Neodiprion lecontei: one gene and its partner. Each later gene encodes a partner of the first gene's protein in a complex. Links are inferred from orthologs where the notes say so. Each region holds a gene or a part of one and is shown on either strand. Other genes may lie near its edges.

Region 1 (18,140 bases):
GAGCTGATCACCTGGCGGCCGTTCAAAGTCCAGGTGAACCGACAAAGTGTAGGTCGAAGACTCGTGCGGTTAAAAATTTCAACTGCTCTGAAGAATGACGATGGATACGGTCAGTGGGCGATTGATGACTTCCGCACGTGCCAGCCGCGCGGTAAGCCTAAATTTCGTTTGACACAGAGACAGATACCCTTTTCTAGATTTTTGCACTGCCTATTTACTTTCTTGCGTGTAAATAATTTGTACTTGTTGTCAGGCACAAGAGAATCAACAATAACGATACGTCGAGAGAAATTTGATTCCTGGCCCAGGATCAAGTGCCAAAAATTATCTTACACTGAAATTGAAGTGATCGAGTTATCGTCGAATAGGGAATGCCGCGGAACGATCGGTGAGTACAACCGATTCGAAGTTGAGGTCGATTATAAGAAAATCATTTTCACAGAATGCTCCGCCGTTCATCACGGGGACGATTGCCATCGGAAATGCAGAACCTGCAAATGCAGGTCCCGCGATAAGAGAAGTGGTAAGGACATGGTGGAAAGTAAGAAAAATGGTTTGGTTTCAATCCATCGAGTTTCGAATAGTTCGACGAACCACGCATGTGATATGTCATCATACGTTCAATCTAGTGCCATTGATTCATCATTCGCGTCATCTCCTTGACTTTCAATGTACGCGCAAAAACAGTTTCCGGTAGTCCGATATAAATTTAGCAGATGTCACGTCGTGGAAGCAACGGCTGCGAACATTGAAACAACTTGAATCAGCACATGTACAACAATGTTATTGTTGAGTACAAGTTCGTCATCGCAATATCGTGACACGTTACTTGACTTTTTGAAAATCAGTTACGATAATCAATTGTCATCCATTTTTGAGATCCGTTTCGGTGACTAGAAATTTCATTGTAGCCCCTGTCTAATACCAAATTTACCACTCTCTGGTTACTCCTGTCTTTACCGAATGTACGTACAAAAGACTTCGTTTGAATTCAATACCAAATAGTAAAAATACGCAGGCCAAGCAACCAATAGAAAAACTCAAATCGAACAGTTAGCGAAGACAGTTCTTCGACCAATTAGTGCACCCCAACTTGGACCCAAAAATGATGTATAAAATTCATAACTATCTAAGTAAGAATTCTTGAAGCTGTGGTATTACTCGAATCCCAATTATTCACTGCCCCTCTTTGAATAAATTATATGATAACCGTGTATCGAAATATCTACCACGTATCGCGGTTATCCAGAAAACCTATAAAACATTCCCGATTCAAGTATGGAAAACGTACAAACCAAGACAGAAAGTATTTTGATCGAGGACACAACCATATAATTAAACTGAATTCGTGCACCCGTAATAGTAAAAATTAGCTGAAAGATACACGAGTACGGATTCTAAGATTTCCTAAAGTGATTGTGACTGGTTGATGTTTCATTAGGTAACGCACTAATGGAAGTTCAGGAACTGATTCACACATCTCTATCCGCCACTAGCGTCACGCTAGAATGGAAACCCCCCAAAGATGTAGATGCCACCATCGTGAAGTATGCTGTTTCTCTCAAGGTACCGCGTTTCATCAGCTTACCAAAATCTCAGTCACAATTGATTATCACGTCTCTTTGCTCATCTTCAGCGCATCTCAGACGCTCTGAAAGTGGCAACATTCGAATCGCGGAATAACCTACTGCACGTTTCTTATCAACCACGTTATGTTTTCGTAATCAGGTAAATGCACTGGTTGGTTGCTATGAAAGCGGTCGCGAGACTCCTGAACAGCAGCCGATGAAACGAACCGTGATCCAGCCAAAAGCCTTCTTCGATGGCTTGCATCCCCACGCTTCGTACGTTGCAACCGTGTTCGCGTACATCGACAGTGCAAAGGGACCACCAAAGCAGTATAACTTTCAAACGAATGAAACTCGTGGGTACCAAAAATTTGTGCATGTCTAACAAATTCGGCAGCATATGTAAAACCCTTCTTTTCAACAACTTATGCTGATTTGTACAGTGATACCTACGTCGGTAATTCACAACCTCCGAATTGAAGAAGGAGGAAGGTTTCTTCGGTGGGATTGGCCTGAGGATTGTACTACAATCACGGGCGGTATCTTATGGACAAGAATAAAATTCGAAGCTGTCAGTGACGGCATGCGGCGCGTAATACATCACTACGAAACGACCTATAGGAACCTCGACTTAAGCTTGATCGATTTTATTCCCGGTGTAAAGTACAATGTCCGTGCTTACGTGACAAGGTCTCGGCATGGAATGGAAAATAATACGAACTATGTGAACCTCACCTGGACGACCCCACGTGGTGAGGACCGAGCGAGTTTGAAACTCGGATGCCGTAGCCTTCTGCCAATGACATTTACCGTCTCGAAAACTTACACGTCATTCGAACAGTTTGATAACTCTGCGCAACGCAAACTACATTAACGAGTTGCTATGTTCAAGATGTGACAGAATTGGAAGCGTACGATGCCGACTGCGACAGAAGCACCATCTCCTTGCGATTTATTCCGTCAGTCCTTCTTCACGACCGAATCGAATCCTACGAAGTGTCCATCGCCGAAGGAAACGAGCTCCCCAAAAATATGACTTTTGGTAATACGAAAGAACAGATCTGTGATTTGTCGGATGATCACACATGCTTAAAAGATGTATCCCTACCTTCGAACGCTAAGGTCAACATAACGGTGCGTGCGTCGACACACCTATAGACAAATTGCACTCAGTTAGAGTAAAATGCCCTTATCGATAGATTATCATTATTTGACGCCAAATACAATTCATTCACAGATTCACGCGATGGGCAAGAAGCTTGATCGATTTGATATCCGGAGTAACATCACCTTCTCGCTGGAAGAATCGTGCAAATCAAGTTAGTTTACGTAGCCACGCTAAAGGATTATTTTCTGATTACATTAAAGTAGCCTCGTATGATTTCTGTAATGAAAACCAGTTTACCTATTCATAAGATAAAAGTTAACCGCGAGGTTAACAAATGTAATGAATTGAACCATCCTTCGTGTCCCCAGATCTCAGTTGGCGAGTGAATTTCACGGTGACGCAAAATCGCGGTAACGTGAGCCTGAAATGGAAGCAGCCGTTATCGAGTGGCGCGAAAATCACGCGATTCGCCGTCCGCGTTAGTCCTCTGGATCGACGTCAACTTGATAAATTAACCCACCAAATTCCCATTGTCAGGGAAATTCCTGTCGAGCCGAATCGCAAAGAGTACACCACGGAGTTCTACCTGTCAAAATCAGGGAGCTACAACATTTCCTTGGTAGCGTTCAATCAGCGCAACATAAGCATTATGGAAAATGCAGTACAGTTGTTCATCTCGAAAGAAAATTCCTCGGATTTTCAAGCTGCTGTTCCTGAACGACGTCCTTGGAAACAATATTTACTTTATGTCATTATTTTTCCAATCATAGCGATTCTTCCGTTACTGCTGTTTGCTTATTACCGGTAAGCAAGTGCTTCATGCCAACATTTCCGTGGCAGTGTTTGATCAGCCCAATGTAATCAGCACGGCAGGTGTAATACAGATTTTAATCTCGGAAGACGACACCAAGCGTGGTCAACGGGGGTCGCGAAAAGAGTATATAGAGTTCATCAACAATCTGTGACTATTAGTGAATATTATTTCTCCGGCGACAATATCCAATATTTCACCCAAACAAAGAACTTGCTTTGCTGATTACGTTTTGAAATCACGTATTCATACTGGACCATATCACGTTTAGCAGACGAATGCTGAACCTGCATGCTTCCATAAAATGCGATGCAGCGAAGTCGCAAATTTTTCAAATCGAATAAGCGTTCAAACTATGTACCAACAAATTTGAAGCATCGTCATCTCTTAGACAAGTTCACCAAGTTACTGTGCCATTTGGGCTTCTTATTTGTAGAATAAATGAACTTAATTATACAGAAATCAGAAGAAACTCTCATCCGTGGACAACTGCGGTGAGTACATCATACCGCCAATGAAAGAAACGACAAGTACGAATGTCTCGATGACTTTCCATAGTCTGGAGGAATCATCAGATCCGTCCGACATTTCAGAGAGATATGATGTGATGCACGAGTACGCTGTACCGAGTGAGCTGCTTTCAAACTACATAAGCGTACCGCACTTCCAAGAGTACGCCAAATACATGGCTACCAGTGGAGGACTGTATTCGCAATTTACGGTAAGAAATTGGTATTATCAAAATGGTAGGCCTTGACTGCGTGAAACCGGATCATCATATTTCTCCGCATCTGCCAAATTTGTCGAAAAACTACACATCTGTTAACCTTCAATACGATTTCTGCCCAACAGAATCTTCCTAAGGGGACAACGAAAAGGTGCGAGTATGGAAAGTTACCTGAAAACATGCCAAAGAACAGATGCGTGAACCAAATACCATGTATGTAATGTCAATGCTGCTTGAACAGAGATTTAACGGTCTGAAGATGAATAACTGCATTTTCCGCAATGGATCAACTCTGAGTTTCTCAAAAAATCGTTAGGATTTCTTTCTTACTGCTTGTAATCACATTTACAGATGACGAGACGCGAGTTGTCCTCAACCGAATCCTCGAGGATCCTTACTCCGATTACATCAACGCCAGTCACATTCAGGTAAAAGCATTTCGACGTACCGTTGATTCTTAATAACGTGGTACAACCGCCGTAGCATGCGATATTTATTCACGAAAACTGGTATTCACCCGAACAGGGATACGGCAAGAGGGCCTACATCGCGGCACAGGGACCGATGCCGAATACGGTCAACGATTTCTGGAGAATGATTTGGCAAAACGATGTGAGGGTGATATGCATGCTGACGAACGTTGTGGAAGGCGATAAGGTAGAAAAGAAGATTCGGTTCAGAGATATTACAATCTCTTATTGAAATGAAGAGAATTCTCTGAAACTTCGTTAAACGTTGCAGAGGATGTGTGAGCAGTACTGGCCAGACGTGAGGACCAAGACAGAATACGGCGATGTCGTTGTTGCGAACGTAGAGCACCAGGTGTACGCGAATTATACTTTCAGAACCTTCCATCTCATCCACGAAAGGAATACGCGGAAGGTAAGGCGATGAATTGAAATGGATTTGGGATTGCACGCCACTTTCCGTTTTTCCGCACTCCTCGTGCCTTTATCGTAGTGTTCGGTACAGTTGATCAATTTTCTTGCGATTTTTCCCGCGTACCGAGCATTGATCGAAGCGATCCCATTAATCTTCAGCTCTTGTAACAGGTGACGCACCTTCACTACACGGGATGGCCGAGTCAGGGAGTGCCGAAAGACCCGCAACCCCTGGTCCAGTATTTGAAAAAACTGATGAAAACACCGCCCGGTAACGGACCAGTCCTGGTTCACTGCTCCACCGGAGACGGTCGCACTGGCGTTGTCATGTTGTGCGACATTTGCATCCGCGAAGCGGCCGTTGTGAACGTGAGTAATAAAATAATCCACGACAGCGTTGTAACTCTTCGGGAGCAATGAATCAAGACCGTTCTCGCAGATGATCGACGTAGCCGGGGTCACTCAACGGATGCGGAAGAGCCGCGCGATGATGGTGAGCACTCAGCAGCAATACAACCTGGCTCACGTCGTTCTTGCGGAAAGTATTTCGGAACCGTCGACGTCCGTGGAATGCAACGACGCCTTTTCGCAGAGTGTGGAGGAAATGAAAAAAAGGTTGCCGGCCGACGTGAAACGGTAAGCGAACTCGAAAGCTTCCGTGTCAATACACGTCGAGAAATTCGGCCGTTCCGTGATAAGATTGTACCTGTGTCCACAGGCTCGATGACTCCGAATGGCAGGAGCAGGCACTCTTCTTCGGCGATGAATCCGAACCTTCGACTTCCAACGAGTTGACGGCAGGTCGGAATATTTCAAATTAACAAATCATTCAAAGCCCTGCATGAGAATCATTGAGAATCTTGGTGATAACCTTACGAATTACAGAAAGTCGAAAAGGGAATGAAAACGGCTTGTATTTGGAGTTGAAAAATCCGTGCAATTACACAAACGCGGTCAGCGTCGACGGCCTCGGTATGAAAAGGGAATACCTGGCATCCCCGTTACCTTCGCCCCTCACCCTATCGGAATTCTGGCGTTTCATTATCGAGGATGGTGTGAAACTAGTTATCGTATTGCAGCCTGCAGATCCCAAGAACTCCGTGAGTAATACTCATAAATTTTACTGCGAGTGCTGGATTGACTTTTCAGAGTGTCTTTTTCAAAGAGTCTGCATAAATCTCAATGAAAAATAGAATAAGACGATCAAGTTTCAGCCTAGAAACAAGTAAAGTGAAAACTTTGGTTCAGTTGTTTTGAATTTTCGCGTGAAAGGTCGACGAACGAATGATCTTGCATGTAATTCAGACACCAACAATGCAGAATTCGAAGCAACGCAGCTTTCACCTAGGTCCAACCGATTCTTCGCTTCAATAATCGTACTACCAAAATGTGCTCAACAGATTCACTGCGACATAATACCCAATAAGATGACAGCCGGATTCGCTCCGGACATACGAGTGGAAACGAAAACGCGGTTCGTCGACGAATCTTACGTGAAACTCGAGCTGCTGGTAACCGACACGTTGGCGGTAAGTCCATAGACGACGAAATGTGGTAAATGACAAAACGAATGGATCCTTTTTTTCAAAAACCCGTCTTTTGACACCGTCTCCGTTCAGGAAGAATCGAGTCCTCGTGCCTTGACGATACTCACTTGCGTCGGCTGGGAAAGCGATAAAAACGAAAAGCCACCGGCACCCGCCACGTTGCTCTCGATTTGGAGAACGTCGGAAACTATCAAGCGCGACAAAGGGCAGACCTTGGTTCTCTGCCGGTGGGTAACGTTCGATCGATGCTCGACAGAGTCTTCCAAATTCTCTGACCTCCGCTAATTTCACGCCCCGCGTTTCAGAGACGGCATTACCGGCTGTGGCCTTTACCTGGCGATGAGTTTCCTCCTCCAACGAATGGCAGTCGAACGAGTATGCGACGTTATTTCCGCCGTTCGAACTGTTCGCAGGTCCAGACCTGAGTTTGTCCGATCCGACGTAAGTGTGATATAAAGCAACTACTCTGCGATAAGAACTTCAATTCAATTTCCGTAAAAACAATTCCAAACCGGAGTTCCATTTGATCCCTATACTATTCATGTTTTTACTTTCAGAAGGAATTCCAGTACTTGTACGACGCAGCGTTAGCCTACACAAAATATTTCGAATCCTACGCGAATTTCACTTAATTAATAATCCCTACAAAATAGTTTCAATTGTCACTCAAATTCAAACATCGACGAATCGTTTTCCAAACGTCTTCCGCATGTCGTCAACAATAATATAAACCCAACGTCTTTAACTGTTCTCTCCACGATGAACGTGACAATTCGTCGCTCAAATCCCATGAAAGTGACCCCATTTATTATACAATTATATATTTCTATTCAATCATCACACAATCCTCATTTGTTCCAATATCCTAGTCGATGAAATTATTTCAAAATTTTTTCCAATCTTCAACTGTAATATCACACATGCCACATGTATACCGTAATAAAATCCATATTCGTAAGAACAAACTAATCAATCTACCCACATTTGAAACCAAACTTTTACGCAAAGCAATAAACACGTCAACTAATCTTAATCGTGCTATCGCAATTAAATAATGCCTCATCTCGAGTTAGCTCTGACTCGTCGGAATAGTTAGACGTCTTATCGACTATCGGTTTTCCCGTCAGGGCTCGCGGCACGTTGTAAACGTGCCAAGTTAGTCATAGCCCGTTTGCGCGTTGCGTGCCGGGAGACGACCATCTACCAGAGACTCGAATGACCCGTGTTTGAACGTTTTCGCGTTGAAACCACGTTAAAACAGTATCTCTCAGTCGATATAAAAACCAAAACCAAAGTACCTGGTGCGTTTCAGGTTGACGGTTTGACGGTGAAACGTTCATCTTCATCTCTGCAACACGTTTGCACATAATTCGGAAAATAATTATTCGTCACATGTGTGTTGATACACACATGTCCCTCTATCATTGAATATAATACGTATACAAGTACGTGTAAAAACTCAGCAACATACGCTCGTGCTGAATTACGCTAGCAGCAGTAAAAGAATTGTAGAAAAAGAAATAATAATAACAATAGAAAAAAGAAGAAGAAGAAGAAGAAGAAACAACAACAACAACAACAACAACACAACGACAACGCAAAGACAACCTCAAGACCGGACAAACAAATTGCAAGAAACTCGACTCGTGCAGGAAGGAAGTCAAAAACATTCAACAGTACGTGTTTTCATTTCAATTCTCTAGCCATAAAATAATATCCAACATCCCACTGACAACAATAATATAAACCCAACACGTTGCAAATAGATAAAAATTTCATCTTCGCACCTATAATTAATATGAATCCAATGTCTTGAAACGGTATTGTTTACAATAAGGTATACGTTGTGATACTGATAATTATTACAATGACCATGACGATAATGACGATGATGATGATGGTGATGATGATCCATTTGCGTATAATCCGTTACAATAAACAAAAGCCGTTTATATCTGGATTATTGAACTCGGTAAATGCTAGATCGATTTTCGATTGTTAAACAAACAAACAATATTCATCTACAATCAGCAAAATTATATTATATATAAAAATCTATACAGTATAAAATCATCAGATTTCCGTCACAATTTCACATCGATTTCCCCAATTATTTTTTCATCCTGATACGATATAACAGATCAATTCACCCTAATTCACAATTATTCATACACACCAAACTTCCCGTATTATTAATTTTCCCATATATTTATTATCTCGTTTCCATATCGAATCTCATACTGGATTATAGGAACATCGAACGCCAACGACCACAAAACCTACACATACTCATCTCGCATATGTTCGTGCGTAAAGCAATTGCGGTACACACAACATAACCAACTGCACGCAGTGTAACAAACTTGATCCCATTCGCCACGAGTTACGTAAGCTCGATAAATTCCCTACCGGTATAGGTATAGTACTAAACGGAGAGACGGCCATTACGCGACGCTTTATCACGTCATCCTCGCCACTTTTCCCGCCTATATTCAAACGCCACGGAGCAACAGTTGAACGAAGCGCGCGTTTCGTAAAAAAAAAATTAACAAATTTTAATACTCCGTTAGATTTTTAACATTATTTTTTTTTTCTTTTTAAATACCTTAATGTAATCAACTCAGCAACAATACAATATGTAAGAATTAATACAACAACAACGATTACTTGCGTCGCGCTATCGCGCTATATGTTTCAAAATCGGAGCTTAAACGTATTATTACTATTATTATGATTATTATTAACGCGTTGTAAAAAAACAGAGAGAATGATTATATAGGCTTGGTCGTATATACGTGAAAACGAAACGTTCCGACTACAATCGTACATTGTTATCTCGTGATTACTGTCAGATTGTATAACGCAACTGATTCCAAGTGTGTATATAATATATATACAAAAGTTATATTATACGTGTGTATACGTATACCTATACATACAAAATCTCATGCTGAACTGATATAAACTACATCCGCGGTACGATGTATCCTATGTACTTACATACGTATGACAATTTGAAAATTGGGATGTAACATAACAATGTAACAATATATGTATACATACACGAACTTGAACTCTGCAGAAGATCATCGATGATGCGTGCTGCATTTTTGTCTGTTCCAATTTATTCGAATAAACGAATCAGCTGTGATAATGAACGATTTATTTATACGCGATAAAGAAATTTCAATCTAAATATCATGTACTCCCACATATATTTGACAAATAAAATACATATATAAATTATATGCCTTCATTTCGTCTCTGCGAAAAGAACGCGAGGGAAAGAAATAAATTTACTTTCACTTCAGCGAGTTTTTTTCCAAATTACTAACCATTCCTTTTCTTTTTTTCCTTTTTGTTTCGTATGCTAAAATCGAAGATTAATTCCACTAATCAGAATTGAATGAAGAGAGAGAGAGAAAAAAAGAAATGATCAAAAAGAAGCACCGAAAAAAAGACGTGCTCGAATTGTAGCGCAAATTGAACGTTTCTTATGATTATCATTATTATTATCATATTTATTATCGTCGTTGTTGTTTTTTTCCGTGCGAGACAGCAAGACGCGCGTCTTTGTATCCAGAAGGCATATTATATATTCGCAGAACGTTGCGGGGGCTGGAAATCGTCTTTATTCGCGCGACGATTTGCGAGATGTTGCGATGCCTGCGAAGGGGCAAATTATAAATTGCTGTCAAGTCAGGCCACGGTCGTATCATTTGCGTTAGTTAAACGTAATTGCGCTCCACCTCGGTTAGACGATGCTCAAGAGCACAATACACGTACATTGTGCACATATGTCTATATATATGTGTGTGTATATATATATATATATATATATATATGTATGTATACCAACGCGTGCAGGCACTCTCAAGAATTATCACTACGTCCATTTTCTATGCATAACTATATCGATATAATAATTCCGATAAGCACAGCAGTTGCATTTCAATTTTCCTTTTTCCTCCGCTATTCTAATAATAAAAATGTCTATTGTCAATGTATAGTATGATAGAGCGAGGTAAATATTTCTCAAAACCGCTCATAAACACATGATTTTTCATAAAATTCTACAATAGAATAATTCGGTTCTATTCTACTTGCAAGTTTATTCGTCTCAAGAGAAATGTTATTATTCGTTACTTCTACAAAATTGTAAAAATAATTTCATGTTGCCGTAGTGATTACACAGAATTAAATAAAAATCTCCTCAATTTTGATAAAATCAGTGATTTATATATTCTTCGTAAAAGTAATGAGTGATTTTTTTCAATCATCAATTATTCTCCCTTCTCAACTGGTCAGTTAATAATTGCTTTCTCAAGTCGAAGAAAACTAAATTTCCTCGTCGAATCAATCAAGAATTAAAATTAATTAATTCTTCATTCTCAATGTATCAATTGACAATTTCACGCCTGAATAAATAAAATCAACGCATTTTTTATTCAAGACAAGAAAAGAAGAACAAACGAACAAACAAAAAAATGCCACGAATTATATAACTCGCTAAAACTAAATTAGTAAAAACTTTCAATTAAACGGAATTTAAAATTGAGAAACAAAAATAAATAAATAAATAAAACGTCATCATCCGCAATACGTAAAAGTGAATTGAAGATATTTTCAGGGAAATATCGGATGCAAGAAGACCGTCATCATCATCATCATCATCATCATTGTCATCGTCATTATCATCATCGTTGGTATGACGTCGCGGGAGCCAAAATCAGCAAAAACGAACAACGACGATCAGGATCATCACCATCAGCACCGTCAACATCGTTACAAATCGTCGTCAAGCTCATTAACGAGTCCAACAAAAAAGCGTAATCGTTCTTGGCGACCGCAAGCGGTACTGGGACTATCGTTAACCGAAGAAATACCCCTAGAAACTGTCTACGTAGGAATATTAAAAGACAAACGTACAACGTCGAAAGCAATAAAGCAAATATCGTCGTCATCGCCTGGTTTCGGTCATTTGAAACGTTGCAACGGTTTCCGTCTACTTTTGGAACCAGTGCATGTAAAACCTTCCCAACTCCATCATACGACATTAAACGTCAAGAATTTAACAGAGACCCATTCAATTGGCAAAGTGTTGGAGAACAACGTTAAAAACCAACCAGAAACCGTGACCAAAGATGCTGAAAAACCCCCTTCTTCAATAACGGAAGAAAATCGAAACACGACCCGATCGCCAACCGTTATGCGAAACGATTTGCAATCAAAGGGTTTCGACGTATCGTTACTGGAGGAAAATTTCGAGATTATCAAAGTCCCCGCTAGAGCTGCGCGAACGCGACGTCAGGCCGAAGTTTGCAGTAAAATATGGCCGTTAAATTTCCACCCAGATCCAGGAACCGAGGCTATAATATCCGGTGAAATATTCAACGATTACCAACTGAGTCGAATGGAACTTTTAATGCTGGCCGCGATCGAAGCGGCCCGTCGATCCTCGGTCGGTAATACCGACTGCGCCGGAAGCGCGTTGATCGTCGATCCGTTGACCGGAGAATCGGTGGCTCTGGCAGCCGCCCGTATAAACGAGCATCCGCTCTGGCACGCGGCCATGTTGGCGATTGACTTGGTGGCTAAAAGCCAGGGTGGCGGTGCCTGGATCGGAAGAAAATCTTCTTCGATAGCTGAGGATTCGGTAAGAGAAAAAGACGGCGGCGCCACCGGCGGCAAGCGGAAATTCGACCGCAGCGCCTCGACGGCATATCGGTATCCCCCGGAGCTCGATGACGTTAAACTACCTGCCGCGGAGCCGCTTCAACCGGAAGCCGATAAAACAGGACCCTACCTTTGCACAAATTACTGGATATTCATGGTCCGCGAACCTTGCGCTCTTTGCGCGATGGCCCTCCTCCACTCGAGGGCAGCGAAAATATTTTATGGTGTCAAGGCCGAGGGTCACGGGGTACTAGGGAGCAAGGCTATGCTTCACACGACGAACGGGCTTAATCATCGTTATCAAGTTTGGTCCGGTATTTTGGAAAACGAATGCCGTCAAGTTTGCGCCGATATTGAAAAACGTTCCGTCAAATGACGATTGACCGTTGTTATAGTGATTGTTATTATTCTTACTATTATCATTATTATCATCATTTCACCTGCATAATTATACATATGAATACACGCGTACGTGATCAAGATGTGATCTGTTTAATTGTTGCTGCCTAATCATTATGCATTTACCTGATACAATTATTTAACGATCGTTGTTATTATTATTATTATCATTTTTTTATCAATCTTCTTCTGCCTACCTAAATATAATACTATACGCCATGCTATTGTCCTTGTTAAATGTATATTGCGAGATTAATTAACTGGACAATTAAATGTTTCTAAAAAAATTTCCTCACGCCTTGTTTATGAACAATATATATACGTACACATCTATATACACCTAACATTCCCACAAGCATAATAATATTCAATCGTATAATAGAAACGACAAAAATACCTCTTTAATTGTCACGCAAATATCTTGTTAATTCTCACGTATAAACCTGCCTAAAGTTGATGTTAAGATTTCGTCATTTTTCTCAACGTTCCCTCAATCCAAGAACTCGGTCGAATATTTAATAGCATTTCGTTAATTTCCTCCTCAACAAAGTGTAAAAAAGTATAAATTCACATCATATTTTCAATAACGCGCGTAAACTAATTTTGCGACACAAAAAAAAAAAACACCGCTGTCTCGTATATTTTTAAGGGCTTGTTAATTCTTTTTTTTTTCACCGCGATCACATTTCATACCAACAATAATCGCGAAACGTGTGAATATGTTGAATAACCTCAACAATCAATAATAACACAAAATAAGTTTTGATTTGTGTTTCAATCCCCCATTTTTCCATACATCGTATTTCCATCGCTTTTTATTTCTAATTTTCAACGTAGTTTTTCGTTTCCATTACACTCATACATTCTCTCTCTCCGACGTTCGCATTCGTCTGATTCTTCTTGCCACGCTGGGAAGCATTTTGGCATATTTATAAGGAGTACAGAAGAGTGGTTAGCGTTCCGTAATCACTGACCCGTCGAATTGACATCAATCTGCAAAATATTTAACGTACCCGCCATGCGGCACGCAACGTCCCATACGTTTCATACGACTATAGCCATCGCATCGCCTGCCCGCGTATGCGGCAAAGAGAATAAGCAATAACGATCTCGTGGAATTTTTCAAAATCATTATACGCTCTTAGTAAAAAAAAAAAAAAAAAAAAAAAAACCCAAAACTAAGCAAATAATAATCATAAACGACAAACCCTATGTTCGAAAATACGTTCTCCATCGATTTCCATGTTCTATATAAATACATCAATTCTCATTACTCCCTCACTCTTCCTAGAAAATAAAAAATCTACGAACTGCTCCAATTAACAATAAAATATAATTAATAATTCTTAATTAGAGTTATATTAAATTTTATTGTCCTCGTATCGTTTTTATTCTCACATTTAATCACGCAAAATTTCTTTCTTTTTTTTTTCTTTTTTTTTTTTCCCCCCTCTTATGTTTCAGCGTGCACATTGCGTCGTTAAGGGAGCACAATCAAAGGACAAGAAGAAGAAGACGAAGAGAAGAAGGAAAAAACGTAAGAAAGAACAGAACAATCGCTACCAATTGCTACCGTCGTCGTGAAACAAAGAGAATCAGTAGTGAGTCGTCCCATCTTAGTGAGACTATACACAAGACGAGATTTCAAGATTGCATTTTTTTTTTTTCTCCTCACTTCGCTTCTCGTGAAGGAGAAAAAGACGTAAAAAAAACACAATAATAATAGTAATAAGAATAAAAATTCGCACAAATTTATAAAGAGACTGGGTTGTATAAACGACAAATGGATAAAAAAAATCGTCGCTAATTTAGAGAGATAAGTTATCTCTGCAGTATAATAACGCGTATTATTATACCTTCGCATACATACATATATATATATATAATACATATATAAGTTTCTGTGTCATTCGTTGATTGACAAACGTGCGGCTCGCTACTCGTCTCGCTGATGTGAAAAAGGAAAGGGAAAAAAAAAAAAATAGATAAACCAAAATCGAAGAAGTACGACAAAGTGGCAAACAAAATTTGATCAAAGAGTAAAAGAAAAAGGAGAAGTTTCTAATAAAAAAAAAAAAAAAAATAATAAATAAAACGACAATATTTTCTCAATCGACGTAAAAATCCGCGAGTTCCTCGAATATTTTCAATATTGTTACACACACGCGAGTGCAATTAAATTCATGTTAAAAACATTTTTGAACGCATAAAAAAAAAAAAAAAAAATTAGCGTCGAAACAAATTAATACACGCATACATACACATGCATACATACACGTATAATATTGTAATAAATACAAATTAGACACGTCTTATTTCTCGTCTCGCTGTGCTGCCATCGTCATCGTCGTCGTCGTCGTCCGTCGTTTTAGGCATTAACGCTAAGTGATATAAATTGAAAAAATAAGAGTCAAATAGCAAGCAAGCGTAGCAAACTCCGTGAGCCGTCGCCGCGGATTGGATTTTCGAAAGGAGTTGCCCGATTGGACGAGCCGTCGAAAGGAGAATAACGCCGATTGGTCGACGGTAAAAGTAGCCGATGCTGCGCGGCAAGAGATTCCCGAGCGACTCTCTCATCATATTCCGTCTCTGATCTAGTACATCGTCGTCGTCCTCCTCCTCCTTTTGCATCGTCGTGTTGCCGGTTTACACACAGAGAGAGAAAGAGAGAGGGAGAAAGAGAGAAAGAGAGAGATTAACTTGCATTAAATAGTTGTAATAAAAAGTAAATTTTGAAATAAAAAAAAAAAAAAATTCCACGTATTATTTCGGGATTGAAATTCGTTTCACGCAAACGTTAAGAGACGTCGAGTAAGAAGAGAATGTAACAACGATTGGAAATAAATCGGATAGGATCCAAGGATAAAAATAAAAGAAAGAAACGCGACCGCGAAGCGTGGAGCAAAAATTTCACCGTCAGAATTCAGAGGGAATTTATAAACAGCAGGAAAAAAGGCTGAAAAGCGCGTTGTGCAATCCGCGTTCTAGCTGAAAAACTAAATTCATCATTATCCAATCGCCATGGAGCTGAAAATTCTGAAAATGTGGTGACAGGAGAAAGGCGAAGGCCTCAAGTGATCCAGACACTCTCTTGTGTGTGAGCCATATAGTAAATCGTATATATACTTATGCATATGTAGATAATTTTGTCAAAATAGATACAGCGTGTAATCCCTGCCTTGATAAAATATCCAGACGATAATTGTTAAACAAGTGAAAAAGCAAAGATCGAAAAAAGAAGGAGATTGAAAGAATAGAAAAACCCAGCGGAAAAAAAAAACAATTGAGAGAGGAGAGAGATAAATAGAGAAGTAGAAAATTTTTCGCAAGTTTTCGAGGAAAAGCTCGATCGTCGGAAAACCGTAACGAGAAGACGAAATCCTGCCCGGAAATAAAGAAGAGGAGAACAACGTCGTACACGCTAAAAGGAGTGAACGTATAACGGAAGAATATTTATAATTTATAATATCTTTGGGGAAAAGTAAAAAAATAAATTAACATTCACATCAATAGCATAAGAGTGAAATTATATTCAACTGTAGTGAATAACGACAATAATTATTATTATTATTATTACCCTATCGCCGAAATCGAAAGGTTTGAATACGTTTATGATTAATTGTGATAAAACGCGAACCGGATAAAAACATAAAAAAAGAAATCATTTTTTCAAGAACAGTGAAGAATAGACGAACGTATAAAAAACCTAAGAACTAGAAGTGTTTTTAACAGAAAAAACCAGACTCGTCGAAAGAAAAAAAGGAAAAATACTAGGTCAGATAAGTAAATCGATATTGATAATATTGATATCAACAACAACTCGAATTTCTAGCATGAAAATGCGAAGAAGCCTGGGTGTTGCGATGGTTTTCGAGGACGTGTTCAGCGTTTTTGCCCGTTTCCTGGCCTCGACATCGCGGGGCTGCGCACTGCTAGAAACCCACCGTCAACGCGAAACAACGGGTATCAAAAAGTTGTACAACAGTTTCTTCGTAATGTTCTAAGGACGTTTTGCGAAATCGAAGGTCAGAAGAAATAAAAAAAAAAAGAAAATAGATAGCAGAAGAAGAAGAAGAAGAAGAAGAAATTGTAGCGCGAAACACACTAACTCACAAATAGTCACGTCATACACACGCAAACATACACAAGCAGAAACAATAAAGTTCATACTGCGCGTAGGTAGAAAAAAAAAGATCCTTTATAGAAAGAAACCCGAGTACATATTGGTGTTAGAAGAGAAAGATAAGGAGAAAGAAGATAAAACAAAGAAGTAGAGCCTTAGAGCGTGCGGAATAATTTTAAAGCGCAGGCTGCTTATTTAGTGGAAAAAAAAAAACAAAGTAAAGCTGAAACTAGTAATAACAAAAGGAGACAAAGTAAAAGCGTGTATAGAATTGATCGATAGAGAGAAAGATTTCCATACGGCAAGGAGAAGAGAAAATCGAATATCAAGCGACGTCGGCGATAGATGAAAAAATACCGAGCAAGAATTGCTTGAAAATAAAAAAAAAGAAAAGAAAAAACGAAACAAAAAAAAAAAAACAATCCTCAATTTACGCGACCATTGAAAAGTATGAAAATTTTCCATAATATATTAATGCGATATTAAAAAGCGATACACAGAGGAAGAATAGAAAACCGTACGTAATCATCACAAATCTAAAAATTTTGTTAAAAAAATTGTTAAACCCTGATGAAACAGCGTTGTAAAAAATTTAAATTCCCACCGAAGCTAATCAATTTCACATACCGTTCACCAAAAATCGTCCGACCGTTTGAATAATTTTTTGAATAAACGTCGCAAAGTGCTTATAGTTTTAAAAATTTATCTTTCCTCGTCGTTTCTCCCCGTCTCGTTTTTCAACTTGAAACAAGAAATAAGGAAGAGAGACAAGTGAGAGAGAGAGAGAGAGAGTGAGAGAGAGTGGGAAATAAAACATCAAAGATTCGTTGAAAAAAATTCGAAAGAATTAGTAAATCCGCAGAGCGTCAAGAGAGGGGAAAAAAAAAAAAAAAGGAATCGGGAAAAACGAAACGCCAAATCATTCGAATGGAGTTACACCTGATTCTGGACGGTGGCGTCGGTACACTTAACGACGAGATGTGGCTCGAAAATTCATCATCGCCACCGTACGACGAAGATCATGATCTACAATCACCGAGTCACGAAAGTATAGCCGGAACGATCACCGTACAGCAGGTAATAGAAAAAAAATATTTAAAAAAAAGAAAAATACTACCTCTTGATATCAAATTCAAATAAAAAAAAAAAAATTTCAAAATCGAATTCAATCAAAAACAACGTTTAAGTCGTATAGATTTCCAAATTATTTTACATTCACAATTTAAGGACACGTAGCACCCGTACCGACCGAGCAAACTCACATCTTTTTCTTCCTGTATTAAATAAACAAATGATCGGA
Region 2 (13,603 bases), on another chromosome or scaffold:
CGCTGTCCCTTTTTTCCTGTTTTTTTTTCTTTTTTTTTTTTTCTCCAACGCCCGCTCGAATTCCACGTGACTCACAATTGAGGCACTGACGAAACAAAAAAAGAAACTTGTGGCGAAAATATAGAAATGGTCCGTTTATTGGCGGGTTCAAAGTTAATTATTCATCAGCTATTGTGCGGGTAATCTTATTGCGAGATGGATCCACGTCGAGATGATTGGATTTTTCAAATTAAGATAAAACTATTCGCAAGCTACGGTCGGTTTCCTCCAAATATTCAAGATGAAATATAGAAAACAAAAAAAAAAAAAAAAAAGAGATGCAATTTTTGTGATGCTTTTTTATTCTTGTTTTTTAGGAAAAACTTCGAATTATGTAACTGACGATTGTACAAATTTGATAAATTCGCAATGTGCGACTACCGCGTGGTAAAATTAGCGAAGAAGTACGCAATAAATTTACAACTTGCTAAATTAAATACAAGATAAATATCGGATAATTTACAAATTTGCAAACTCCGCCAGAACAAACGCGACGTATGCCTGAATTTAAAAATTCAAAAACGAATTCGTTTCGGGCATTACAAAAACGCACAAAATTATTTCATTAGTTGTATGCGCATATCCCAGTAAACGGAGAAAAATGTTAAACCATATTAAAACAAATGCATTTTCATGACCCAACGATTCGAATCGCACTAGAAGACTCATCGCACGTTTCGAAAATCAATTTGTTTCAATTTTTTTTCTATATATTAATTGACAAAGACGGAATTGTGATTGGATCGAATTGAAATTGCGTTACAACATAAGCATCGGATAAAATTTGGAAGAAAATGTGTATTTCGAAACAATAAATGGATCGAAGGGCATCGAAAGGAATCTCTTTGGATATGAGTGTCGAATCTGGTTTTTCTTTTTTTTCTTTTTGTTCTTGTTCTTTATTATTTGTTTGGATAAGACTGACAATCGTATTTCAGCAACGGCTTCTGCAAGTGCGCAGTTCTCCACGGCGCAGGACCGCCGTCATATAATACACGCACATATTTTACGTGTATACACACGCGCATACACGCACAGATGCATATAGATGCGGGATGACGTTTTGCGAGTATGTGTGAAGGGGGTCCTTCAAAGCATGAAACTCATAGCGGCATGTCGGTATTGATCCTACGGAGATCCTTGTTTTATTTCAAACCGCTGTTTATAAACAGCTGAATCGTATAAAGTATAATGATTCGAGAGAATGACGATTTTACATCGGTGTAACATAGTTTAAATTTATTACACGCTCAGATTCGTAGAAAATGAAATTGCCAATTTTTATCACCTCGAGAAGAAACAGGAACAAAATTTTCTTTTAGATGATTGGTAAAATTACGAAATAATCGTATGTATATAGTATGTAATAATTTACTTGTTTATTTTTTTTTTTCTGTACCGATATATATATGTGTGTGTGTGTGTGTGTGTGTGTGTGTGTGTGTGTACGAAGATACTGCGAGTGATGTCGAATGTAGGTACCTAATATATGCATATTTTGTTGGAACAAATTTTGACGTGCAGCAAAAGTGTAGAGGCGATAACGGGTGGTAATTCAAATGTATGGAAGCACGGAAAGAGAGAGCAAGAAAGAAAGGCCAACGAACCAGAATAAGAATAAAAATTTTACGCAACGACTTGCATATCGATTTGACTGACAATTTTAAAAATCGCTCCGTCTTATCGTCGCGTATTAATTGGAATTTTAAGCGGAGTTCAACGTCCGAGAAACATATAAATTTCGGAGAAAGTTAATTAAAATTTGAACAATTTTTCACCGATTAAGTAGTGCGATAATTTTCGTACACGTGGTAAGTGCGTCAAACGAAAGTAAATCATCGATTAACCGTAGCCCGCATAACGGCTGCAGTCTGGAGAGTCTACGGTATTAACCGATACCTTTCAAACACGTTCAAATACACATCTGTACATACACGCAGTACGTGCATCCCGTCACGGTTATCTCGTACCGTCGCCGTCACTTCTGATTTCGTTCCTACAGCTTACCGGGCGCCGAGTGTAAACGTAAAGAAAATTGTCACCCATGTGCCCACGTGACGATAGGTACCAAACGCCGGCAAATTGCGGACAAAGGAGAGGACTAATAAAAATTGAACAAAATTTTTCTCAAAGTAAATCTGATAAACAGAAAAGAGGAAGAGCAACGGAATGAGCATGAAAAATTTTAAGTTGTTACATATTGAACGGGCATTTGTAACATGCGTACCTTACAGATGCTGCGACAGCATGCCGACCAGTATTTTATTTATGTAGGGCACACCTGGCCAAGCCCTTTGCATGGTTCACTTATACGACGTATGTATTCGTCGCGTCACACCCCATATTCAAAATTTACATCCATACGTACGTATGTACGTACATACCTATGTATGAACGCACTTACACGACGTGTGTAACACGACTCTGCCGTACCTTAACTCCGATTCAGAATTCTATCGGTACATGCATACAGGTATGCCTTATATGCCCGTACATAAATTTATACATAGATGCGTTGACGATGATCACATTTATTGCATACGATACGTCATTTGTTCCGTAATTGTGAGAAGTGGTGTTTTTAAATTTTTTTTTTTTTATCTTCAGCTTTCTTAAAAGCAACAACAAGAACTGCAGAAGCAAAGATAGAATGATAAGTGTTGTAATTCAATAATTTTTACCGTTACTTCATACATACACTTATCAACGGTTATCTTTCAAAAATTTTAAATGCGACAACTTTTTTATGCTCTGGCTTTCTAAAATGATCAATCATATATTTCTAATTGGTTCGTTTCCCCGATGCTTGGAAAACTTTGTTTTCTTTTTATAACAAATACACATTCTATACTACAAAAAGGACGAGAATAGCGTATTTCATGTATTACAGCCAAGCATAGGTCGTTACAATTATACTGCGGAGTTATAGATCGTATATAGGTAGATAATAGAAATGTGTCTGGAGCGTAAAAAGGCGATGAATCCTCGCGAGGATGAAGCCTTATGAAGAAATATTAGTATGTGCATTTATGTTAGACACGCGGGAACATCGCCCATTTATACATATAATACGATGCCTGTACGCTGTGTATACCTTGTGCCGATGGGATTTGCTGTTACGTATTTTCATCTACTTATGTGTACAATAATATAAGTATTTTGTTTTATCATGCATGGCCGCTTGATCATGGCGTACGTGTAAGAATACTTTCATACAGTCACGAATAAATCAGCGAAACATGTACGTAGGTTGTAGGCGTGTTAAAAAGTTAATTAAAAAAGTGATGTTTGTTAAATTTCACGTAAATAATTACGTAATTATTGTCGGTAAGATAAATATTCTCACTATGCAGACACACGTTGATAATAAAATATTCCGTCAAATTATAATTCTCGAAATTCAGTCGATAATTGCATTATGTGCACACGATGCATAACGTACACATTTATTATATCAGTCACGGTCATGATTTATCGATTACAAGGAAAAAAATAAGTCGATCGTCTGAAATGAAAGGTCCTCTTGTGTATCCTTCTTTGTTGAAGACGTTTCGATTTCATTTATTTGTTTATTTTTATTTACTTTTTTTTGCTCTTGAAATTCTTTACCTCTATGACGTCATATTTTTTCTTAATTATTATGTTATTTTCATCTCAATCGTTGTCAATTTTTTTCTCAACAGCAACAGTGCATCATGTACTCGTAATCTCTGCACACGTCGTGCATGAAGTTGGGGCCAGGACAATAAGTGGCCGGAATACAGAGCACAGGCAGAATGTCTGGAATGAAAAAAATCGGATTCTTTTTCTTCTGTGGATAAAAATGACGCCTAAACTGGATTAACAAGAATCACAGATTCAGGAAATACATTTTCGACCGTTTAATAAGAATCCAATAACTCTGCAAGTATATGTTTACGAAGTGAAAAGGTCATATATTATATCTAAGGACAGGAATGAAGATCGGAGGAGGCGAAAACTTGGCGATCATACGTCTGTTCCTATTTATTCGTGCTTACCGTATGTTCGTCGACACCCGCAACAGTATCCAAGATTTATCGCCGGATCGTTATCACAGAAACGCATCGGACATCCCGTGCATACAGGAGGAAACAGGGCGTTCACTAAGAATGATAAATCATAGAGTATGGTGCAAAAAACGCTGTTGTGATGTAAAATTTTACAACGAAATTCCGGATAATCGTTTAATGCGTTTTAATATGATTTTCCGTTATTGCTATCCGAATCGTACTTGGCGAAAAAGACTCGGCGAAAAAGACAGCCAACAATTGACAGCGCATATTTTTTTAACAAAATAATTTCCTCCGTAGTGAGCATTGGTGAGATAATGGAAAAAAAAAAAAATTTACCAAATGACCAAGTATTATTGAAAGCAAAGAAAGTCAAAGATCCGACGAACCGATATCGATGAAACGTGAATGACGAGTCTTCGTTTCGCGAAGCGAAGATGCCCTGGCGAATGTAGTTGACATCGCAATGACGACAGCGAGAAAAACGATGATATTCACTTTGAAAGACATTTTGACACCGAGTAAACATGTTGAGAGAATTCCGGCTCTCTTATATACCTTTTCAACGCTTGGGTTTTTTTATTTTATTTTTTTTATTTTATCGTGAATCGTTTTACCTGGACACTGATAAAGTCAGTCGCTCGTTTCTTCGTAAGATCGTAAATAACAAATTGTTTTCAAATGACCATTAAAATCAGGTCACCGCCTCTTCCAGGTAAACCAACAACTCGTAAAATTTACATCGTGAACGAGTGATCTTTCCGCTTATAGTACTAGAAAAATCTACTGCCTGCGCGTGTAATTCGTCGGCATCGCGCATATTCAAGCTGTGTTCTTTGGGTGATTGAGAAGTCGGTATTTTATCATAATTTACTCCATGTCGATTCAAGTTTATACATTCCACATTGACACGCATTTAATTTAATTCCCGAATAAATTCACTCCTCACTGTCAGAACTATTCACACTTGTGTTTCGTCGGCTATTACGGCTGAACGATAACATGTGTTTAAAGATTCCCGCTTCCAAAGCGGCCGTCGGCTCTGAAATTAAATATGGCTGGAGACACACGATCAGCTGATCGTCGAGTTCGTTGCGTTTGCAACTCGTCGTCGAGGCTGTTGCGAATGTGTTGTCGGTGAAATCCGTAAAAAATCAGGGTAAGTAGTAGCAAAAATTTCATTTTCACAACTGCTATACCCCTATAATTTCTAGGCATCTATGCTAGATTAACAAATCTCGCGAAATAAATTCGCGGCGAGTAAAGTAGAATAAACATTATTGCGGTATGAAGCACGTGACAACGTTTATATGTCATTCGTAGATTGGCAAGCATGAATGGTAAAAGTGCAGCGATTCGCAGAATGAAATTTTCTTATAATCGACAGCTGCGTTCTAGGATTTCGAACGCATTTCATATCGAATTTAATACATTGTTTGACGCCTATACGATAGAAATTGGCTAGATGAACACTGCAGGAACGAACGTATTTGGTCAGGTGATTTGGCGGTTAAAAGCATCAGACGAATATCAAATATTCGAATTTCGTACTGAAAGCAAAAAGACTTCAAGAGCAAACAATACGAGATACAAGATAAAATAAACATCTAATTCGTACCTCGATTCGTACCAACCGATCGCAGAACCGTTCAAGTTCGTGCAGCCTGCGGTTAAGCTGCGTCGGATAGGTTACTGGGTAGGCATACGTATAGATATAGGTAGATAGGTACAGTCAGTATCAAAATGAAAAAAGAATTCACAGTCGAACTGGTATTTACAAATACACGAAATGCGGATTGAAATGTCAATAAACCGAGGGACTGTCACCCACGAATTAGGTGCTGGGCGTATCGCAGACGCGTTAAGAGTATCGATATCGTTTTCAAGCGTGACCGAGAAGGGTCAAAAGCAATATTGAATTGAAAAAAACCGGGAGAGACGCAAAAAACGTAATGACATCGTCTAAGCGTGCGAAAATCGAATATGACGATCTGCCGTTGGATCTGAGTCTAAAAAAGGTGCCGGAAAAAATGGCTGAGGATGAATACGACGACGAAGACGACGAGGAGGTGGAGGAAGAGGAAGTCGAGGTCGAGAGGGATAAAAGCCTCGTCAAAATTTCCCCCCTCGACGAAAGCGGTGTCTTCATAGTCCCAGCTGTCCCTCCGCTCAGCCATCCGATCCTGAAGATACCGGAAAAGCTGCTGTCGCTTGAGTGGCTACTCACCGAGGAGCTGAGGTGCATTCAGTTCCAGCTGCCAGTCGAGTACGTCTACAACCCGATCGAGTACGCCTTCGACGTCCACGCTAAGTACGTCAGGAAATACTGCCAGACGACTAAGAAGATCCTGTTCCTCGGCATGAACCCGGGTCCCTGGGGAATGACTCAGACCGGCGTCCCCTTCGGGGAGGTGAAAATGGTCAGAGACTGGCTTGGGCTCTCGGGCTGCATTGGAAAACCTGTCAGGGAACAGCCAGACAGAAAAGTGACCGGATTTGCTTGCACGAGGAGCGAAATAAGTGGGCGAAGGTTCTGGGGACTGTTCAAAGACGTTTGCCAAACGCCTGAAAATTTCTTCAGGCATTCTTATCTTCACAATTACTGCCCCATCGCTCTCATGGACACCAAAGGAAGGAACATTACACCTGCCGAATTGAAGGCAATTCATTGTTGTTGAAAATCGGATGCGATTCAGGATTTACCAACTTCGGTTTAATTTTGCTTTCTTGTTTGGATTTTTCAGGGCCTCGAACAGAAGACTCTTTACTACAGATGCGACGAGGCACTCGTCGCCACCATTAAACTCTTGCGAATCGAGATAGTCATCGGCATCGGAAGATTCGCCGAGAAAAGGGCACAGACTGTCGTCAAAACTGCCGGACTTCCCACCCAGGTTCATTTCATTTTATCTATTATTTAATATGAATTCTCGTTTAAATATTCAAGATTCAATACTTAAGAATGAAAGTTTGTAACGATCACATAACGATCTCTGTCATTCATCTGGATCGATCATTTTACTTACAATCAATTACACATCTCTAATTACCAATATGAGTACTTCAATGTGTAATTAATGTTGTTTTGTTTTTACAGGTGTTGTGCATACCTCACCCGAGTCCCCGGTCCCTGGGAAATGAGAACTGGAGTGAGAAGGCTGCGCAGAGATTGCAGGAGTTAAATTTACTGAGATATTTTGCCAAGTAAATTTTCACTTACAGATATCCAGCGTGCAATATCAACGAGTGATAGTCACAAGTGCAAAAACAAGACTCTATATACAATCGCTCCGATTTAAGCAATAATCCGTACTAATATTTTATTCTTGTCATTTCTTTCATAATACTTCGCTGTTACTGTTGTCATTATTATAACGTATTTTTATTTTTCAAACATGAACGTAAACGAATGGATGAATGTGGCATTGGAAAAGGCTACCGAGGCTTTGAATGCCGGAGAAGTGCCAGTTGGGTGTTTGTTCGTTTACGAAAATGAGATAATAGCATCGGGTCGCAACACTGTCAACGAAACAAAAAACGCAACTCGTCATGCCGAGCTAAACTGCATAGATGATGTGCTCGAATATTGCAAAGATAAGGGAATCGATTATCACAAAGTGTTTGAGAATATCGACGTTATCGTCACTGTTGAGCCATGCATAATGTGCGCCGCTGCGCTACACCAGCTAAAAATTCGCAGCATCGTTTATGGTTGTCAAAATGATCGGTTCGGCGGTTGCAAAAGCGTGTTTGATGTGACGAAAATTTATGATTACAAAATATCTATTACCGGTAGCGTCAGAGGTGACGATGCGATGCAATTACTTAAAGACTTTTACAAAGGTACAAACCCCAACGCTCCGGCGTCCAAAGTTAAAAAAGGTCGGAAAAAGAAAGTTGAATCCGATGTAGGTTGATTATTTCCTTTTATTATAATTTTAAAAAACCGTTTGCCAACTTTTAATCATATCCTCAAGTCTTGTTTTCACGAGATATCGAAAGCTATGAAGGTTTTCCATTTTTCCAACGAAAACGTACAGACTGTGGATATTAAATAATAAGCAAATAGTGTACGATGCATAATAATGCATAAGGTTGTGCTATCGTAGCAATCGTTTTCTTATCGGATCTCATTTCAATTTGCAGTAATGGTATAAATTAACACAATAGTATTCAAACTCTGATTAATCACCCGTAAGTCCATATCAGTAGCATAGATGCTCTGTACGATGAAAAAGAGACGGTGTTTTAAACTTATTCGCAACAAAAAAAGGAACATAATTGATGAGAGAAAACACTACGAAAATTTTGGTTACAATATTTCAGATTTTTATTTTGATAATTTATATGTTACATTACCTTTTAAAATTGCGTATCTACTTAAGTACTAAGTATCCAAAAAATTAAGTTTATACTTCTTACGAGTAAGAAGCTATTTTGATTTTGTACCGTACGATCGAGTACCGTATGCATTTTTGTTTTAAAAGTTGTACCAACCTTTTTTTACAACGAAAACTTTCAAGAGTTCAGATCTAACTTTTTCCACGTTACACATTAAACGTGAACTCGCAGATCTTCCCAGTCGTAATCGATGTATCATAAAATTCGGGCAGGGTATATACCTATACTGTATAGAAGATAGTAGAATGTAGAAAACTTACGATTATCCGCACCACGTGGGATCAAGTTCACATTTACCTTGATACCATCTTACGAGTAGTTGATTCTTCAATGTGTAATCCTTGAGGACCATTGTTTTCGTCTGAAAAAAAGAGTGCATAGTAAAATGTCAAAGGTATTAACATTGTAAATACTCGAATAAAACAAACTAGCAAAAAAAAAAAAACCAATCACCCTGCGATCAATTTTCAATTAATTTTCTATAGGTATCACAGGTTTGTCACTCACGATAGGAGGTGGGAATATTCTTTGAAAGTCCATAGCGTTCTGGTGCTCGCGATAACTGGTCGACAAAATGTGTCTTGTCTCATCCGTAAAACACGGTTTACACAATTGGCATTCGACTCGAAAACAGTCGTCGCATTTAGCGCAAACTTCTGGCAGTACGACCAGATTTTTATCAGCCACCTGCATTTCCTCTTCCTTCTGATTTCTGAAATAATAATCGCGTTGTGTGTGTCATTGCTGAGGTTCGAAAATTCTCCTTCAACCCTACGGTTATGATTCTGGAATTAGCTGTGCGAAAATAGGATTCACCTAATTCTTAGCGATTCCTTCCTTACTCTTTGGCCGATACCGACGAGTCCGAAAAGGTTGAATAAAACCTGTTCGTAGAGCAGTTGATTAGGCGGATAATGGGCCGAAGATAAATTCGGCGACATATTGGCCTCCATGACAAATACGTTGAGCTCATCGTCTATTGCGAAATCGAATCGCATCATCTCGAAAAAGTTGTGTTGGTTTTTGAACCGTTTTACGACGTCCTTGATAAGGGACTCCTTACTCAGAATGACGTCCCGTATCGCATCGTTAACGTTATCCCAGACCTTCTGGGGATCCTTACCCTGCGCCCTGACGTAACTGTCGAAAGAGTCCTTCATGGAGAATCCCAGATTAGCGTAGTAATTTTTGAGCGACGGAACATCCCATATCGGCAAGTAATCATCGCCGACAACATATTTGTCGATGTTCTCAGGATCGAACGGATAGTACTTGACAGGACAAAACCGGAAGAGAATATCACCCTTGTAAACGTAGACCCTGAGAGGATCGACGGAAGTGACAACGGTGTAGACGCCGATGTCGAACTTGAACCCGTCAACCAGAAAAGGATTCTCAATGAACTCCTGGACGAAAGACCCCTCCGATGCCAGATCGATGTCCGAGACATTGAGTATCTGGATTCCCCGATGTGCGTTCGACTTTTGGACGAAACTCTTCGCCGGGTTGTCGGCCACGTATTTTAGCAAGGCTTTCTTGTCTTCTGGTATCTTGAAAGCTGCCGGCAAGTGCCTCGCCAACTCCGACGTCGAGAGGTCGACTTTGTTCGTTATGTAACCGCACCCCGGTACATGATTCACCTTCTGGTGCGGCGCCAGGGCGTTAAGACTCGAGTAAAGCGATCTGAAGGGATAATCGTGAGCCCACAACAAATCCCAGTCCGACTCGTTCGTTCCTCTCTCAAATCCGAGTCGGTCCAGCAATGCGAAAACGTGTTTCAAATACCCGGAGTCGGGATTTCTTCCGTAGACCCAGTATATCGGTTTTCGATCCTTTATCAATACTTCCTTGACTTCGATCTTCGCAAAGTGTTTTTGCAAACTCGAAGACAGATGATAGAGAGTGTATAAAATGACTGGTCCAACGATACCGAGTATAAATAGTTTGAATATCGTTCTAAGTTTGGTATTCAAAACCGTTGTACCGACCGCAGTATCTTCATTCTGAAAAACGGGTCAATTTTTGTTAATGTCAATCAATTTTGACTAAACTCCATCACCGCCTGAAGAATGTATGACAAGCCCTTTCGAATAGAAATTGCAAGAATGTAAACGTAAACATAACGGTGCGTAACGTTGCATAATTTGAAAAATGACCTACCTTTTTGCCGTCGGAATTTTTCCCGCTCTTCTCAAATACTTCTTCATCTTCGTTAGAGGTCGCAGACACAAGGCGTTTTTTGACAGTCATTAGAATATTGGTTTTACCCGTTTGTAGAGAAAATTTCGTGCGTGGTACACCGTGTTGTTGAAAAATCACGTCAGAATACGCATCGCCGCGAAGTACCGTTGTGTCTCGAGTCTCAGCCCCGCTCCAATATAACGTTTCGTACAACCTGCGCACGTGGAATGCATTGCGCAGGAGAACCGGATTTCAACCTACGTATGTATGTATGCACGTAGAACACGCATACATGACGCGTGTGACGTGCGCTCAGAAAAGTTTTTTTTTCTTTTCGTCATACGTCTTACGTTATATTCTGTACCTTCATCATTTTAGACAAAAAAATACAAGAATATGATGATCGTTTGAAAATTCGCAGAGTGGGCCGCCTGATTGTAGGCAACTGACTATGCATGCACGAGGTTGGCATTTAGGTGCCTAAGATTAGGCGTTTAGTTTAGCAGAAACGACAGTTTGGAACAATACACGAGTATTTGGCAATACAAATTTGTGAAACTAATTTCTACTACTCACCGAACACTTTTGGGTAGCCGGAGATGTATCCTCTGGTCGTTCAGGTATGAGCATGGAATCCATGTTAAGTTCACAATATTGCACCCCACTTCACTGCGATAACAATCACCGAACAAAGCACTCGATTGATTTTAGTTTACGGACCTGTTATGTGTAAGAAATTTGTCACCCGTCAAATAAACAACGAACATTCCGGCCACGTAAACAGCAAATAACCTTGCAGAAACCAAATTCGATGCAACAGTCGACAGTGATTGAGAGACATGACATGCCTAATCAGCAGGTCTACCGGCGTGAAGTAGTTTGAAAATAGACGTGATATGGTCGTTGACGATATAATCACCACACACTGCACTAAAAAACGCGATTAGGCTATTTGCTCGCGTGACGTCGTTCGATTGTTTCGCGGTGAAAAAATTACCGATCAAATTGCACGGGACAGACGATCCGAGTTTCGCGGTTACAAAGCACGCCGTACACCTGGCGCTGCTCGAGAGCGAATGGCACCGCGCGGAACTCTCACTTGGGAGGAAATCTCGAAACTTCGATCGGTCGAAGCGTGCTGACGTTGTTGCTGAGCACTGTGGTTGATGTTTACTAGGTTGCCGTCACTCCTCCCGTCAGGCGTATTGCCCTGAAGCTGACGAAGGCCAAGTGTATTCCCGCAGTGCTGACAATCTGAAAAAAATTAGCGTGTAGTTTAGTTTCCGAACACAGCGCCAGGTAGCACTCGCAACCGGCCAACTTCCTATCGGCTTTCTAGCTCGCGCTGCTTCTTTTCCGCTAAGGGTGCCTCAAAACGCAACATGGGTTTCCAGAATATTTGGTATTCTCACCCCCGTAAATACGGCCAAGGATCGAGATCTTGGTGAGTAATTAACCAGAAGTCTTTTCCCGGTCCTGTTTACCAAAGATTCGGGTCCAGATACCTTCCACAACTCCACGCGGACTGCTCAGGTCTCGTTATTCCCACAGCGTGGTCGAACCTCTCGTCCACATGTCCTAAATGATGCAAATTCCGCTCAATTCAGGTCCGAGCTCAGCTCGCGACTTTTCAATGTTCAAAACACCCACAATTTTCGGGAGACCTGCTTACGATAACTCGACAATTTCAAAAAAACTTCGAACCGCTACGTAACGCGACGTTTTTTTTTTATCAATCTTTCATAGGTTATGTTTATGACGTCATTTTCAGCACGCATTTTCCTCCCTCGATATTTTTCAGCAATATTTATCCCATCGCGATTTTTGCAATCTCATAGCTGTTAAGCCTGAAATCGCTTTGAACTAACGTTATTGATAAAACTTTCTCAGATGTATTCCAAGTTTTTCCAACCTAAAAGAATCCGATCGACGATATGTCCTTCCTAAATTTTTATTTCTGTTTACTCAATCCGACGAATGAGGAAATTAATATTTTTCATTGTCTTTTAGCCGAGCGTGTGCCAACAAGCACGGTCTTATCCGAAAATACGGTCTGAACATTTGCCGTCAATGCTTCAGGGAGTACGCTGCCGACATTGGCTTCAAGAAGGTAATTTTAATTAATACGAGAAACGTATCACAATTATATTACTGAGAAACTATTAGAAATGCAGCCGCAGAATGTTTTTAATTTATTACTCGATGTTCCTTTGTGTACAATGCATTAACAATATATCTGAGAATGGAAGCACGGCAATCGAAAGATGAAAAATTCTGAATTTCTAATCGCTCACTTGATTATGCGTTTGCAAAATAGTTTTAAGCACTATTGGATTCTCATAAAACTTTAATCTTATCTGATTACCGTATATCCATTAATTTCAATAGTCTAACGTATATTGAATTGTACTCGTTAAGTGTTCAGGTCGACAAGTAATCATGAGTCTGACACAATTTGCCAGTGCTATAATGATATAAAACATTATTATTATTATTATCGACTATTACTCGTGACAAAAATTGATTTGTTCACATCTAATGAGTTGAGTACTGGAACAACCAATAACGCATTATCAAAGCATCATTAATGACTTGAGCAACATGCGTACCAATATCGTTTCTACATGTAACTTTTTGGGGATCAAATTTAAAACTATTTTTTCTTCTGATATCTTTTGCAGCTGGACTGAAACACCAAACCTCAAACGCTGGGCTGATTCGTATGATAAACAAGCTTTCATTTGAATATGAAGTATATAAACATAAGAAAGAAAATGAATTGATATTGAATAATTTTGTCCACGAGTATGTTAGTGATGTCGATTATTTAAATGTATGTTTCGCTTATGATGGGGAATCAGTAAAACAGCTTTAAAAAAAAAAACGCCAACTTTTCTTTCATTCTCATTTGTGCTAAATTAATATTCCTATCACCATTGCTTCAGAATGGC

The links.
Region 2: the proteins of probable inactive tRNA-specific adenosine deaminase-like protein 3 (region 1) and tRNA-specific adenosine deaminase 2 are in contact, whole or in part, in a crystal structure (PDB 9HMM), measured with the Mus musculus proteins. The link is inferred for Neodiprion lecontei from reciprocal best matches to the Homo sapiens genes ADAT3 and ADAT2. Residues at the interface, in NP_001094076.1 of Mus musculus: Val217, Ala218, Pro220, Leu221, His223, Ile229, Asp230, Ala233, Gln236, Gly237, Glu270, Ser272, Pro274, Val276, Val290, Met291, Met294, Ala295, His298, Ala299, Pro311, Asp312, Leu318, Phe319, Val321, Arg324, Asp326, Leu327, Asn328, Pro349; in NP_080024.3 of Mus musculus: Val62, Asn63, Lys66, Asn67, Ala68, Thr69, His71, Met74, Ile77, Leu81, His85, Pro91, Cys107, Ile108, Met109, Ala112, Ala113, Leu116, Met117, Arg130, Phe131, Val137, Leu138, Ile140, Asp144, Leu145, Pro146, Asn147, Thr148.

The regions. Positions count from the first base shown.
Region 1 is NC_060262.1:1,601,814-1,619,953, forward strand, and holds probable inactive tRNA-specific adenosine deaminase-like protein 3, read left to right. Parts: upstream 1-7,843; 5' UTR 7,844-8,318; intron 8,319-11,272; 5' UTR 11,273-11,350; coding exon 11,351-12,694; 3' UTR 12,695-13,316; downstream 13,317-18,140. Other genes in the region: uncharacterized protein LOC124293721, read left to right, coding at 1,453-1,566, 1,729-1,924, 2,012-2,320, 2,461-2,702, 2,806-2,887, 3,045-3,337, 3,447-3,641; receptor-type tyrosine-protein phosphatase alpha-like, read left to right, coding at 4,173-4,208, 4,340-4,427, 4,566-4,642, 4,740-4,871, 4,956-5,096, 5,267-5,464, 5,535-5,731, 5,814-5,896 and 5 more; transcription factor CP2, read left to right, coding at 17,768-17,917.
Region 2 is NC_060264.1:168,601-182,203, reverse strand, and holds tRNA-specific adenosine deaminase 2, read left to right. Parts: upstream 1-7,460; 5' UTR 7,461-7,465; coding exon 7,466-7,987; 3' UTR 7,988-8,327; downstream 8,328-13,603. Other genes in the region: single-strand selective monofunctional uracil DNA glycosylase, read left to right, coding at 6,023-6,730, 6,815-6,964, 7,168-7,278; probable tubulin polyglutamylase ttll-15, read right to left, coding at 8,734-8,832, 8,979-9,183, 9,288-10,474, 10,632-10,721; 40S ribosomal protein S29, read left to right, coding at 12,035-12,096, 12,663-12,762, 13,334-13,342. UniProt on the Homo sapiens protein: Probably participates in deamination of adenosine-34 to inosine in many tRNAs.